Linked DNA regions of Sus scrofa. The protein of the gene in region 1 binds, or shares a complex with, the protein of each later gene. Links are inferred from orthologs where the notes say so. Each region holds a gene or a part of one and is shown in the gene's direction. Other genes may lie near its edges.

Evidence for each region. Proteins that work in one complex are often made in the same cells at the same time.
Region 2: the proteins of SPAG9 (region 1) and ARF6 are in contact, whole or in part, in a crystal structure (PDB 2W83), measured with the Homo sapiens proteins. The link is inferred for Sus scrofa from reciprocal best matches to the Homo sapiens genes SPAG9 and ARF6. Residues at the interface, in NP_001124000.1 of Homo sapiens: Lys431, Asn432, Ile435, Val438, Asp439, Thr442, Cys443, Asp446, Val447, Gln449; in NP_001654.1 of Homo sapiens: Glu13, Arg15, Lys34, Phe47, Val49, Glu50, Thr51, Thr53, Lys58, Asn60, Trp62, His76, Tyr77, Thr79.

The regions. Positions count from the first base shown.
Region 1 is NC_010454.4:27,251,361-27,255,708, reverse strand, and holds part of SPAG9 (C-Jun-amino-terminal kinase-interacting protein 4), read left to right. Parts: intron 1-1,456; coding exon 1,457-1,513; intron 1,514-1,667; coding exon 1,668-1,679; intron 1,680-2,785; coding exon 2,786-2,959; intron 2,960-3,496; coding exon 3,497-3,626; intron 3,627-4,348. UniProt on the Homo sapiens protein: The JNK-interacting protein (JIP) group of scaffold proteins selectively mediates JNK signaling by aggregating specific components of the MAPK cascade to form a functional JNK signaling module.
Region 2 is NC_010443.5:179,712,300-179,715,430, forward strand, and holds ARF6 (ADP-ribosylation factor 6), read left to right. Parts: upstream 1-1,737; coding exon 1,738-2,265; downstream 2,266-3,131. UniProt on the Homo sapiens protein: GTP-binding protein involved in protein trafficking that regulates endocytic recycling and cytoskeleton remodeling. GTP-bound form plays an important role in the transport of multiple palmitoylated proteins form the Golgi to the plasma membrane.

The DNA.
Region 1 (4,348 bases):
AGAGCTCATGAAAAGTTTATAAACTAGTTGCCCCCTAATTTGCCCATATTTTTGAGTTCAGATTGTCACATCACGTTAATCAGTAAGCAGTACACACTGACACATTGTTTTAAAGTATATGAACATATTTTCTAACCACCAGCTTGAACTTCCTAATGATATTCTTTTACTTGCTCAACAATAATGAACAAAACATTTTGTATGGCACATTTACAATTTGTAAAAATGGTAATTGCTTATAGTTGCTAAGAAAGAGGATGAATATCGTAATCTTTATTTGTTGCACAAAGAAATTAATGTACTGATAAGTATGTTCTTAACACCAGCCTTTTAATGGTTATTAGCTAAATAATGAGTAAATATTTCTTAAACGGAGGCATATGGGCAGGCTCTACTTTTCATTACTAATTTTAATTCTAGAAGCCAAATGGTAGTCAACAAGTGCAAATAAAAGTAAATTTAAACTTTCTCCATTGAATTAAAAGATGTTTTAAATTTAATCTTAAACAAAGGGAGAGGAGTTATCATCTTGGCTCAGTGGTAATGAATCAGACTAGTATCTGTGTAGATTCGGGTTCTATCCCCTGGCCTTGTTCAGTGGGCTAAGGCGTTGCCATGAGCTGTGGTGTAGATTGCAGACGCTGCTGAGATCCTGCCTAGCTGTGGCTATGATGTAAGCTGGCAGCTACAGCTCTGATTTGACCCCTAGCCTGGAAACTTTTATATGCTGCTAGTGCAGCCCTAAAAAGCAACAAAACAAAACAAAACAAAAACAGATAAAATAAAAAAACCAAAACAAACAAAAAAAAGTGAAAAGGGGGCTGTGCATCTGATAGTGATAGCAGAATCCATGCAACCTTACTAATAAATCAGTTTGAAATGCCTTTTCTTCCTTTTTGAAATTTTGTTGAATTGTCTGTCAGTCTAGTTTCTTTTCTTCCGTGCTCAACTTTTCCATGATGTTAAAGTTTTAGTCCTGTGAAAATGACCCATCAGAATGGTAAGGTTGTAAGCTAGTTTTTGAAATTTGAAAGTATAAGACAAATGACACCTTTATGTAGAGATAGGAATGTACAAGGCAATATTTTGATCAAAGAGAAAGTTGGAAGATAACTTTTAGGTTAACTTGACATTTAGGCTTGTTGGCTATCTGTCTAGCACCGATAGCAATCTTGCCTCCATCAGTAGTCTGAGCTCTTTGAGGGAGAGATGGTATTTTATTTATATTAGTTGTATTGGCCTTAGCTGGCTGACTGATAACATGATATGTCAAAGTAACTACTTACTGAACTTGTAATAAACTTGAAATAAACTCCGTATATTTCCTGAATTTCTTGGGTCCCTTGTTCTTCAGATAGAAAGCTAGAACGACTCACTAATAACACATCTTTCCCTTTTCTCCCTCTTCTTTTCCCTTTCCCTGTCTCTCTCCTTTTCCCTTTCCCTTTCCTTGTAGAGCATCAAGAGAAAATCCAGCCATGCAGGAAAAAAAAAGGTCAAGCATTTGGCAGTTGTAAGTATCTAAAAACACATAAAACATGAGCACTTTGATGCAAGAAGATGAGAATCAAAATTTATTTTTAAGAATGATTTTGTATTTTCATGCTTTCTTTCTTAAATTTAGAATTTATAGCTAAACTGAACTTTTTCTTTTTTATGGTATGTAGTATGCCAGCTCGGTAAGGCTGTTCTTGAGGACCAAAAAAAAAGCTGTCGTAAGCTGCATCATATTGATTATGCATTTGGTGGAACCTTCTGCTGAATTAATAAAAGAATGCAAAATTATTCTTAGAGTTGATAATTTCCTGGACCCCCATTAAATAAGTTATTGATTCACTGGTTATGTGATTGTAAGGAACTTTACAAAGTAAAGATTAGAAATTTAGTGTTTGTGGGGTTTGAATAGTGTGTGTGTGTATGTGTTTTGCATTTGAACGGTTTGCGCCAGAAGTATTGTGCATTTACTGTGCTTAAAACTTACCCCCCTTTTGATGAATCTGCTATTTAATTGAAAAAAAAATTTTTTTGAGTGGATGTGAAAATAGTTATTTAAATTGAGGTTACTAAGGGAATGTATAAGATGTGTGCTAAAATGGTAATATCTGTTCTATGACTGTTTTTAGAACTGGCTTGCTAAGCTTCTGTTCAAGCCATAACCTTGCTATTTAACAATCACTGGCTAAAGGAACCATTTCATTTTATTTCTTCCTTATGAGAATTTCCCTGTACTTAAGAAACATCTTGGAGTTCCCATCATGACACAGTGGAAACGAATCTGACTAGGAACCATGAGGTTGCAGGTTTGATCCCTGGCCTCGCTCAGTGGGTTAAGGATCCAGCGTTGCCACAAGCTGTGGTGTATGCGGCTTGGATCTGGTATTGCTGTGGCTTAGGCAGGCACCTGTAGCTCCAGTTCAGCCTCTAGCCTGGGAACCTCCATATGCTGCAGGTGTGGCCCTAAAAAGCAAAAAGCAAAAAAAAAAAAAAAAAAAAAAAAAACCCAAAAAATAAATAAATCTTCCTTTCATTATGAGAATTGCCAATTAAAGAACAAGGATCTGCCATTCTATGCAATAGTTTCTCTTTCCTGAATGTCTGAGTTTGGCTGTGAGTTACTGCTAAGGCTGCAGTGTGTGACTGCAAACTTTTTTTTTTTTTTTTTTGCTGGTTTCTAACTCATTGCCTCATGAAAGCTACTCTGGAATTTGTGGGAAATGGTGGTTTGTTTTTCATCACACTTACATACACACTTATTATAAACAAATCCTCTCTTACTTCTTTTTAGTTTCAGCCGACTTTTCAGCTCCTCAAGTAACACTACTAAGAAGCCTGAACCACCCGTTAATCTGAAATACAATGCACCCACATCTCATGTTACTCCTTCAGTCAAGAAAAGAAGCAGCACCTTATCTCAACTCCCTGGGGATAAGTCCAAAGCCTTTGATTTCCTTAGCGAAGAGTAAGTATTTTCCAGAGTAGTGGTTATGGCCTAAATCATTTTTATAGTAACAGTTCAGAGTATTTTTGCCTCTTATCAGATGAGTTATAAGGGTTTAGATAAAACTATAAACTATTCCTGTAACTTGACTACCTACGTTGCTCATAGTTTTCATAAAGAGAAGAAATTTTTTAAAAGCTCCTTTTTGCTGGTATGGTAACATTGATAAATATTAATAGGAATTTTGAAAGTTCATGTAAGCCTTTGTCCTAAATGTTTGAATTTCCTTTAGTGTTGAAGGAATTGACTTCCCATCCTGATCCTGCTACTCATTAGGTATATGAACTTGGGGATGTTAACCTCTCAGAGCCCCAGTCTCTCTGCCTATAAAACGAGTATGATAACCTATCTCAGATGTGTTAGGATTAAATAATATAGTGTCTCTAAAGTGTCTGACACAAAGATAATTTTTTCTTGTTATTTCTGCTGTTTTAGCAGGAGAAGGGAGATAAACTGTTAATTTGCTTAATTTAAAAAGGAAATTTCTTTTCCTTTTAGAACTGAAGCTAGTTTAGCTTCACGCAGAGAACAAAAGAGGGAACAGTATCGTCAGGTAAAGGCACATGTTCAGAAGGAAGATGGTAGAGTGCAGGCTTTTGGCTGGAGCCTGCCTCAGAAGTACAAACAGGTAGCGTATGACCATGGTAAGAGCATCTAGTGGGAAATGCCAGGGGACAGGCGTGTATGCCTGGGCACGAAGGACTCGAAATGTACATCCTAAACCTGCTCCTTTCAAGCTGCTTGGACTTGGCACATGGCTAGTGAAGTGTTGAGGGTAGGGGTTTTCAGGCTGTTTTCCAAAGCCCTACAGCTCAAAAGAAATGCCTCTGAGTCTATGAGTAGGGAGAGGGATCATTAAGAGATGGCTGTGTACATGAGACTCGGGGTGTGCTGCTCTATTTTTAATATTTGAAGATTTCATTTAAAAAACTATTTTAAATGTTTGAGGAAGCCATTGTCATGGAGCCTTTCAAACTGTTATTTAAAACTCACTTCAGGGAGTTCCCATCATGGCTCAGTGGTAACAAACCTGACTGGCATCCATGAGGACTTAGGTTTGATCCCTGGCCTCGCTCAGTGGGTTAAGGATCCAGCATTGCTGTGAACTATGGTGTAGGTCACAGATGAGGTTTGGATCCCATGTTGCTGCAGCTGTTAACTCTGATTCAACCCCTAGCCTGGGAACTTCCATGTGCCGCAGGTGTGGCCCTAAAAAGACAAAATAAATAAATAAATACATAAAGAAATACATAAATAAAATAAAACTCAATTTAGGAGTATCTGTGGTTCAGCAGATGAAGAATCCAGCATATTCACTGTTGGGGCGTGGGTTCAATCCCTGGTCTGGGA
Region 2 (3,131 bases), on another chromosome or scaffold:
ACAAAAAGTATGTTACTTTATGCTATCACATCATATTCTTTAAAAAAAAAAAACAAACACGCTATTTTCCTGTTTTTCCTCCTTTTGGTTTATTTCAAGCTTTCTTCATATTTGAACTTTATCACTAATCATTTGATACAAAGAGGGTTCCCTTTCTACAAACATTATACGTATAATAATAAAAGCCCTCAAGTGGGCTTCTAGACAGTGGGGTCAGAATTACACTCAGTTTACGCATGAGATCAACTCGATAAGGTCAAATGTCCGAATCCAGGCGTCAGAAGTAGTTTTTCCTATTCTAAATCCAACGCTAAGATTATATAGACGAGGCTGCTGAAAATTAAGAATGAGAAACTACTACTAATCACAGTAAAAGATATTTAAAAAGGAAAAGCATGGGAAGTCTTGAAAATACTGTAATTTTTAAGAAACGTGGATTGCTCCTGACGGCTCAAACACTCAAAAGACGGGCTTTAGAGGAAACCCAAACCCAGTAAACGCGCCGCACTGAACGGCAAATCCCACGGGAACCACTGGCCTCCCACGTGTCTCTCAGGAAATGCACAAAACGAAGGAAAAAGAAAGCCAAAGGGAGTTGGGTGAAAGGTTTAAAACAGCAGATAGGGATTCACAGGGAGATGGAGGGCACACGAAGCCTGGGGTGGGCAAGAGAGAACTCGCAGAGCATCTGGCAGGCGCCGAGGACGGAGAAGAGGCCTGGAAGCAAAGCAGGGGGAGGCTTTCATCTGGAGAGCGGGCGGCCAACGGGCCCCACCCAGTGGATCTGCTTCTCAGGTTCCAATGGGGGCGGAGGAGGAGAGCGCGCGGAAGAGAAAAGCAGAGAGGGGAGAAGACGCTAGAATAGCTACAGGTGGGCGCGGGTCAGAGCCCGGGCTGCGCGGGAGCAGGGCTGGCCCCACCTGGGAGCCTCCGAGCCGCCGTAGCCCCGCCCCTCCGCGCGTGGCGCCCCTGACGCTTGGCGCGCAGGCCGCTCTCCTTACAGAGGTCGCTCTTGTCCCGAACGGTCGGCCTCTGCTGCGCCTGCGTCGTCGGGAGGGGAAGTGAGGCGGTTTCCTCGGCGCCTTTTCCGGCGGCGGCGGCGGTAGAACTGGGAGGAGGCGGTGGAGGCCGGAGGGAGCCCGCGCTCTGGGCGGCGGCTGGAGGTAACCTCCTGGGCTGAGCTGGAAAGGCGGGCTCCTTCGGCCTCCGCTCTCTTCTGGGGCTCCCGCAGTAACTCCCTTTTTCCTCTCTGTGTTTCTGCAGGCAGCGCACCGAGTTCCCGCGAGGATCAATGACCCGACGGGGCGCCGGAGCCGCTCTGCTCTCGTGTGGCCTGGGTCAGTGGTGAGCGCGGTGCTCCGCGGACCGGAGGCCGGGCCGAAGGGCCGCAGTCTCCCGCGGCGGAGTGAGGTGAAGGCGGCCGAGCAGGAGCCGGCGGCGGCGCTTGTACGGCGCCTGCGGGGGGAAGGGCAGTTCCGGGCCGGGCCGCGCCTCAGCAGGGCGGCGGCTCTCCCAACGCAGACTCAGGCCGCGGCGACGGGAGGAATCAAGTTGTGTGGTCGGTGATGCCCGAGTGAGCTACGGGCCCGGGCCTCTGCCCTGAGGAGGCAACTCCCACGCAGGCCGCACGGGCCCCCTCGCGACTGGGAAGCTCCGTTTCGGTTTCGCGGCGGCGGCGGCGTTGTTGGAGGGGACCCGGGACACCTGAATGCCCCCGGCCCCGGTTCCTCCGAAGCGATGGGGAAGGTGCTATCTAAGATCTTCGGGAACAAGGAAATGCGAATCCTCATGTTGGGCCTGGACGCGGCCGGCAAGACAACCATCCTGTACAAGTTGAAGCTGGGCCAGTCGGTGACCACCATCCCCACCGTGGGTTTCAACGTGGAGACGGTGACTTACAAAAACGTCAAGTTCAACGTATGGGATGTGGGCGGCCAGGACAAGATCCGGCCGCTCTGGCGGCATTACTACACCGGGACCCAGGGTCTGATCTTCGTAGTGGACTGCGCCGACCGCGACCGCATAGACGAGGCCCGCCAGGAGCTACACCGCATTATCAATGACCGGGAGATGAGGGACGCCATAATCCTCATCTTCGCCAACAAGCAGGACCTGCCTGATGCCATGAAACCCCACGAGATCCAGGAGAAACTGGGCCTGACCCGGATTCGGGACAGGAACTGGTATGTGCAGCCCTCCTGTGCCACCTCGGGGGACGGACTCTATGAGGGGCTCACATGGTTAACCTCTAACTACAAATCCTAATGAGCATTCTCCACCCATCCCCCAGAAGGAGAGAAATCAAAAACCCATTCATAGGATTATCGCCACCATCACCTCTTTGAATTGCCACTTTCTCTTCTTTTGAATTTGAACTTTGGAGTTACAGTTCTACGGTTTGGGGGAGGGGGTTAGGGGGTTTCTTTTTTGTTTCTTTTCTTTTTCTTTCTTTCTTTTTTTTTTTTTGGCTTTGCGTTAGGATGCTCTGAGCTGACTTTTGACACGAACACAAAGTACTTAGATACTCTCGTTGACTTCCAGCAAATGGGATGGGGGAAATACAGCAGTTCTTGATAAATTCCTTTATAATAATGGTTTGATTTTTTTATTTCGAGAGAATCTTCTTTTCCAATGTATGCTTTTTTCCTTTTTGCCCAGTTTCCTTATCACTTGCTGTAGATGGCTTATTTTGCATTCATGCAGACTATGTTGCAAGTCTGTTTCATCTAGTAAACTGAAAATTATTGCTTAATCAAACTGCCGTTTGTCTTTTATATTTAAGGCCTTTTCCCCCTCCCTTATGAATTCCAACTTAGTAAATTCAAATGTGACCTTTTATATCTAAGACCAGTATAGTAAACTTAGCCCACAGGGGCAAATAATGAGTAATATCATTGTAATATGTTCCAGTTGCACATCAGTATGTTAAAACAGGTAATGTAAGTTCTTTGAAATGTCAGCTTTTAAGTTCTGAAACATACATCATGCATGAGTAAGGATAAAACTCAAGTTCCCCTTTACAGAGCTAACTTACAGTGCATAAAAATATGAAAATGTAACCAGTCAAGGACACAGATTTTTTTTTTCACTGCAAAGTTAGCAACTTTGCTGTGTTTTCCCTCTTTTTTAAC